2 linked regions of the Saccharomyces cerevisiae S288C genome follow. Changing the gene in region 1 together with any one later gene gives a genetic interaction. Each region holds a gene or a part of one and is shown on either strand. Other genes may lie near its edges. The genes, in order: CYB2 and GPM3.

The links.
Region 2: mutations in CYB2 (region 1) and GPM3 together harm fitness more than expected from each alone (negative genetic interaction), as found in Saccharomyces cerevisiae (one large-scale study listed by BioGRID).

What each region holds. Positions count from the first base shown.
Region 1 is NC_001145.3:165,384-169,315, reverse strand, and holds CYB2 (L-lactate dehydrogenase (cytochrome)), read left to right. Parts: upstream 1-2,007; coding exon 2,008-3,783; downstream 3,784-3,932. Other genes in the region: YML053C (uncharacterized protein), read left to right, coding at 1-200; YML054C-A (uncharacterized protein), read left to right, coding at 1,535-1,693. UniProt on the Saccharomyces cerevisiae protein: Catalyzes the oxidation of (S)-lactate (L-lactate) to pyruvate with subsequent transfer of electrons to cytochrome c. Is involved in the utilization of (S)-lactate as a sole source of carbon for growth.
Region 2 is NC_001147.6:221,063-224,679, forward strand, and holds GPM3 (phosphoglycerate mutase family protein GPM3), read left to right. Parts: upstream 1-2,205; coding exon 2,206-3,117; downstream 3,118-3,617. Other genes in the region: YOL057W (dipeptidyl-peptidase III), read left to right, coding at 1-1,840; THI20 (trifunctional hydroxymethylpyrimidine kinase/phosphomethylpyrimidine kinase/thiaminase), read right to left, coding at 3,358-3,617. UniProt on the Saccharomyces cerevisiae protein: Could be non-functional.

The sequences.
Region 1 (3,932 bases):
AAGAGTACATGATTCATGGTTATTTCGGTAACACTAATCGCGACATAACAGGCACGAGTCCTACTGGAAGTGCTAGTATTATACAACACCAGTATCATCTTCTACCATCCCAAAGTATAATTGCATCACAAGCACCCGGTACTGCCATGGCCGCGTTGACTAACAACAATATCGCTAACGATTACATGGATATAGATTAATAAGAAAAAAAATAACTGCAGGAAATGAAAATGAAAATGAAATGGAAAAAAAAAAAAGAAAATTTAACCTATTTAAAATAATACAATGTATTACATATTTATCACGACTGTTTACGTATCTCTACTCAATTTACTTTAAAGGCTAAGTGCTCATTCTGGCTACCTTACATCTATCTATAAAACGTTCAAAACTCAAACCTCACTAGGCCTGGAGAAAAAGGGAAAAAAAATATCTCCCGGGGGCGAGTCGAACGCCCGATCTCAAGATTTCGTAGTGGTAAATTACAGTCTTGCGCCTTAAACCAACTTGGCTACCGAGAGTGACTATTTTGATTTACTTCAAAATAAAGTGTCAGTACTACCCTTATTATATGAATGTTGTCGTAACCTCTCGGATTATATGTAGACAATGTTATGGATATATAGAATATAAGTGTTGGAATAAAAATCAACTATCATCTACTAACTAGTATTTACGTTACTAGTATATTATCATATACGGTGTTAGAAGATGACGCAAATGATGAGAAATAGTCATCTAAATTAGTGGAAGCTGAAACGCAAGGATTGATAATGTAATAGGATCAATGAATATTAACATATAAAATGATGATAATAATATTTATAGAATTGTGTAGAATTGCAGATTCCCTTTTATGGATTCCTAAATCCTCGAGGAGAACTTCTAGTACATTCTACATACCTAATATTATTGCCTTATTAAAAATGGAATCCCAACGATTATCTCAAAATTCACCCATTCTTCAATAAGAATTTACGAAATAAATCCGGTAACCATAAATCCACAGAGCCTCTTATATTCACTCTGTTCCTCCATCGCCTATTGAGAAACGTTGGAATAAAACTCTAAAAATATCATCTAGTTAGTTAGTTTTTATTTTACCAGTACATTGTCACTTGCGGAGGGAGGATGACATAAAGATTGAGACGCAGTCATTTAATGAAGTTTAAACGCGGGTACTTGATAAAGTAATACGATATTGAATCATGACGTATAAAGTGAAATGAACGAATGATTACGTAAAAATGTCGATTTTCTCTTGAGAGACTCCCATAGCCTCTAAGAGGCCTTCTACTACGTTCCATATATCTAAGAATGGGGCCATATCCAGTGGAATCCCAGCAATTATTTGAGAATCACCATTTCTCAGCCGATATTTTAGCAGAATTACTACCAATATCAGGGGGCAATAGTTGATCGCCTACTTTAACAAAAAATGTTGCTCACGTATTAACACAGGCAACAAAAAGGATATTACGCAAGAACGTAGTATCCACATGCCATCCTCCTTGTTGCATCTTTTTTTTCCGAAATGATTCCCTTTCCTGCACAACACGAGATCTTTCACGCATACATCGGAAGGATCACCCCCCACTCAAGTCGTTGCATTGCTAACATGTGGCATTCTGCCCATTTTTTTCACGAAAATTCTCTCTCTATAATGAAGACCCTTGTGCCCTGGACTCTGTAATACTTGAAACTACTTCCTCAATAATCGCTTGGAGACCTACCCCCACGCTTTTCAAACAAGGCGCTAGCAAAAAGCCTGCCGATATCTCCTTGCCCCCTCCTCCTGTTCGAGAGAACTACGACCCGACCAATAATAATGTCATACAAGAACCGCCAAGAACCAACTGCTGAACCTTAGATCTCCAATACTTTCAGTTGGAGTATGTGAATATATAAGTACCTGGTCGACTAATCTTCTTGCATCTTTTCGTATTCTTACATCCTATGTCGCTAATACAGTTCCCGCATAGAGAAGAAAGCAAACAAAAGTAGTCAATGCTAAAATACAAACCTTTACTAAAAATCTCGAAGAACTGTGAGGCTGCTATCCTCAGAGCGTCTAAGACTAGATTGAACACAATCCGCGCGTACGGTTCTACCGTTCCAAAATCCAAGTCGTTCGAACAAGACTCAAGAAAACGCACACAGTCATGGACTGCCTTGAGAGTCGGTGCAATTCTAGCCGCTACTAGTTCCGTGGCGTATCTAAACTGGCATAATGGCCAAATAGACAACGAGCCGAAACTGGATATGAATAAACAAAAGATTTCGCCCGCTGAAGTTGCCAAGCATAACAAGCCCGATGATTGTTGGGTTGTGATCAATGGTTACGTATACGACTTAACGCGATTCCTACCAAATCATCCAGGTGGGCAGGATGTTATCAAGTTTAACGCCGGGAAAGATGTCACTGCTATTTTTGAACCACTACATGCTCCTAATGTCATCGATAAGTATATAGCTCCCGAGAAAAAATTGGGTCCCCTTCAAGGATCCATGCCTCCTGAACTTGTCTGTCCTCCTTATGCTCCTGGTGAAACTAAGGAAGATATCGCTAGAAAAGAACAACTAAAATCGCTGCTACCTCCTCTAGATAATATTATTAACCTTTACGACTTTGAATACTTGGCCTCTCAAACTTTGACTAAACAAGCGTGGGCCTACTATTCCTCCGGTGCTAACGACGAAGTTACTCACAGAGAAAACCATAATGCTTATCATAGGATTTTTTTCAAACCAAAGATCCTTGTAGATGTACGCAAAGTAGACATTTCAACTGACATGTTGGGTTCTCATGTGGATGTTCCCTTCTACGTGTCTGCTACAGCTTTGTGTAAACTGGGAAACCCCTTAGAAGGTGAAAAAGATGTCGCCAGAGGTTGTGGCCAAGGTGTGACAAAAGTCCCACAAATGATATCTACTTTGGCTTCATGTTCCCCTGAGGAAATTATTGAAGCAGCACCCTCTGATAAACAAATTCAATGGTACCAACTATATGTTAACTCTGATAGAAAGATCACTGATGATTTGGTTAAAAATGTAGAAAAGCTGGGTGTAAAGGCATTATTTGTCACTGTGGATGCTCCAAGTTTAGGTCAAAGAGAAAAAGATATGAAGCTGAAATTTTCCAATACAAAGGCTGGTCCAAAAGCGATGAAGAAAACTAATGTAGAAGAATCTCAAGGTGCTTCGAGAGCGTTATCAAAGTTTATTGACCCCTCTTTGACTTGGAAAGATATAGAAGAGTTGAAGAAAAAGACAAAACTACCTATTGTTATCAAAGGTGTTCAACGTACCGAAGATGTTATCAAAGCAGCAGAAATCGGTGTAAGTGGGGTGGTTCTATCCAATCATGGTGGTAGACAATTAGATTTTTCAAGGGCTCCCATTGAAGTCCTGGCTGAAACCATGCCAATCCTGGAACAACGTAACTTGAAGGATAAGTTGGAAGTTTTCGTGGACGGTGGTGTTCGTCGTGGTACAGATGTCTTGAAAGCGTTATGTCTAGGTGCTAAAGGTGTTGGTTTGGGTAGACCATTCTTGTATGCGAACTCATGCTATGGTCGTAATGGTGTTGAAAAAGCCATTGAAATTTTAAGAGATGAAATTGAAATGTCTATGAGACTATTAGGTGTTACTAGCATTGCGGAATTGAAGCCTGATCTTTTAGATCTATCAACACTAAAGGCAAGAACAGTTGGAGTACCAAACGACGTGCTGTATAATGAAGTTTATGAGGGACCTACTTTAACAGAATTTGAGGATGCATGATTATAGCCTAGCTTTAAGGCTACTTTAAAAACTTTTTATTTATTCATACATATATATTATCGAACATTCGTATAACTTAATATCATTCAAAAAAAAAAAAAAAAAAAAAAGAAAACATATACACATATATATTTATGTTTATAGAGAGA
Region 2 (3,617 bases), on another chromosome or scaffold:
TAATTTCAAATCGTTTGGTGACACTAAGTTTATTCCTCGTTGTGAGGTAAAATTCTTCAAACAGCTTTTGGAGCTGGCCAAGATTAATCCGTGTTCTTCTCCGCTCACTTTATCTCCTGTTGACGTTAACCATGAATTCACATCTCATCATCTTTTTTCCACCATCAATGAGCTAATTGATATTGGTATTTACCATGTGGAAGAGAAGGCGGCTCTCTTAGGGTTTCCCTCTCAAGGTTATACTTCAGCCTATTATCTGGGTTTACCTGTGACACCTGAAGATATGGCTCTTTTGAAAGAGCAGTTGTTTGCTGAACTTGCCATCTTGCCTGAAAACACAAGAATCAACAAAGTTGGTGAAAACAGTTTCCAAATCTGGGTTGCCTCTGAGAATGTGAAAAACCAGATAACAGAAACCTACCCCAGTGGACAGATCACATTATCCAATGCTGTAACCAAAGTAGAATTCATTTTTGGTGATCATTCACGTGAAATGCGTTTAGTAGCATCGTATTTAAAGGAAGCTCAAAAATTCGCGGCTAATGATACTCAAAAAGCAATGCTTCAGGAATACATCAACCACTTTGTCACTGGCTCTTCTCAAGCACATAAAGAAGCACAAAAACTTTGGGTCAAAGATATATCTCCCGTCATTGAAACAAATATCGGTTTTATCGAAACATATAGAGAACCCTCGGGCATAATTGGAGAATTTGAATCGTTGGTTGCAATTCAAAACAAAGAACGTACTGCTAAATTTTCCAGCTTGGTTAACAACGCAGAAGAATTCATTTCCTTACTACCATGGTCTAAAGATTACGAAAAACCGATTTTCAATCCACCAGATTTCACCTCTCTAGAAGTATTAACGTTTACTGGATCGGGTATACCAGCGGGCATCAATATTCCAAACTATGATGATGTTCGGCTTAAAATTGGGTTCAAGAATGTTTCTTTGGGGAATATCTTAAGCGCGGCTGCCAAAAGCTCATCCAAGCATCCGCCAAGTTTTATATCGCAAGAAGATCGCCCAATTTTTGAAAAATATCAAAGTGATTCTTTTGAAGTCCAAGTAGGCATCCATGAATTATTAGGACATGGTTCAGGAAAGTTGTTGACAGAATTTACAGACGGCTTTAATTTTGATAAGGAAAACCCTCCTTTAGGTTTGGATGGGAAACCGGTGAGCACATACTACAAAGTTGGTGAAACTTGGGGTTCCAAATTTGGACAGTTAGCTGGCCCATTTGAAGAATGTCGTGCGGAAGTAATTGCCATGTTTTTGCTTACTAATAAGAAGATTCTTGATATTTTTGGTTTCCATGATGTCGAATCTCAAGATAAAGTGATCTACGCTGGATATCTACAAATGGCCCGTGCGGGTCTCCTAGCTTTAGAATACTGGAATCCAAAAACTGGTAAGTGGGGACAACCACACATGCAAGCAAGATTTTCTATCATGAAAACATTTATGAAGCACTCTACAGATAAGAATTTCTTAAAGTTGGAGATGAACAGCACGAATGATGATTTTGCCATCAAGTTGGATAAATCTCTCATTAAAACAGCGGGACATGAATGTGTGAAAGACTATTTAAAGCATTTGCATGTTTACAAATGTTCAGGCGATGTGGAACAGGGAAGTAAGTACTTTATTGATAGATCAACGGTGACACCGGATTTGGCGTCTTTAAGAGACATCGTCTTATCTAAGAGATTGCCAAGGAGACAATTCATACAATCGAATTCTTATATTGACGACAATAACAAGGTAACCCTGAAAGAATATGATGAAACCCCACAGGGTATGCTCCAATCTTTCCTTGATAGAGAATTATGATGTCCTTAAGAGCACACGTTTTAATTAGCAACCTTTGCTGTTGCTTTTGTTCAAGCTATTAGATTATGTAAACAGATATATATTATGTAAGTGTGACAGGATACGACAGCACTAACTGTCAGCGAATTTTGATTTGTTACTTTTGCTAGTTTTGTGTGACTTTCCTTTGTTTTTTAACTTTTTTTTTCAGATTTGTATTATGAGATGATAACAATGCGAGATTTCATTGACAAGTTCGATAAAACAATAGAAGCTTCCATTTTATACATATGTGATAAAACAACCTGCAATCGAGGATTTACAATAAAAGTCTCTTTGAGAGGATTGAGAAATAGTGCAAAAAGATCTACTAATAACGAATAGTTATGACTGTTACTGACACTTTTAAACTGTTTATTTTAAGGCATGGTCAAAGTGAATTAAACTCAGAAAACATATTCTGCGGATGGATTGATGCTCAATTAACGGAAAAAGGGAAGTCTCAGGCCCGCCACTCTGCAAAATTGATCAAGCAGTTTTGCGATTCTAACAATATCTCTTTGCCTCAGATTGGCTATACTTCAAGGTTGATTCGAACTCAGCAGACCATGGACGTTATTCTCGAAGAGTTGGGACTAAAACACACCAATTATGTAATTACTACGAATACAAACATTAAGGAGGAGCTGCAGGACACAAGATTTGAAGGAAGTATGCCTGTGTTGCAAACCTGGAGGTTAAATGAGCGTCATTACGGCGCATGGCAAGGACAAAGAAAGCCAGATATCTTGAAAGAATACGGTAAGGAAAAATACATGTATATCAGAAGAGATTACAACGGAAAACCCCCTAAAGTCAACCTAAACCTGGAAATGGTCCAAGAGGAAAATGATCAGGGGTCCTCCACAGGCTATGATTTTAAGGAGCCCAATAGACACTTAAAATACGGCCCCGAAGAGAAGGCTAATGAGCGTCTGCCAGAAAGTGAGTCTCTTTGTGAAGTGGTCGTCAGATTGAAACCATTTTTAAATAATGTTGTTCTGTCTACCGCCAACAAAATCAGTCAAGAATCGTGTGTTATAGTTGGGCATGGCAGCTCTGTAAGATCTCTGCTGAAAGTATTGGAAGGTATCTCAGATGAAGACATCAAAGATGTCGATATTCCCAACGGCATTCCGCTAGTTATAGAGTTGGATAGAGACAATTACTCTTTTGTGAGGAAATTTTACTTGGATCCAGAATCAGCTAAAGTTAATGCTCAAATGGTTCGTGATGAGGGTTTCGAAAAGAATCCATGAATAGTTTTTAAAAATAAAAAATTAGCGCCATTTTTTTCATGGTTTCCTTTTATATTTCCTTCTTTCTTTATTGATAGAATAATGAGTAACGAAAAGCAGCTAAATAAACGTGTTTAAATTTCTATAAGAAGTTTTTATAGATTGTATAACAAAGAAACTTTTTTCTTATTATTATTTTTTTGTTTTTATAATTCATTATATGTAGGTATATCTTTATCTATTGTGCATAAGCCATCTTATCTACTCGTATTCTAGCGCAGCGGTCCAAAAATTTGTTTCTAATTCACAAACTTCAGCGTAGATTGTTACTAAAGTGTCAAGTTGCTCTGGAGGGTATGTTTCTAAGATGTGGTTCAAAAGTTTTTCACCTTCATCCATGGCTTCACGATACCATGAAGATGCGTAAGTTTCACACCATTCGTGGTAAACGGACCCTTCAGGTGCGGTGACTTTACCCTTCATTTTAGTTAAAGCTTCACCATAACCCATCAAACAAGGAG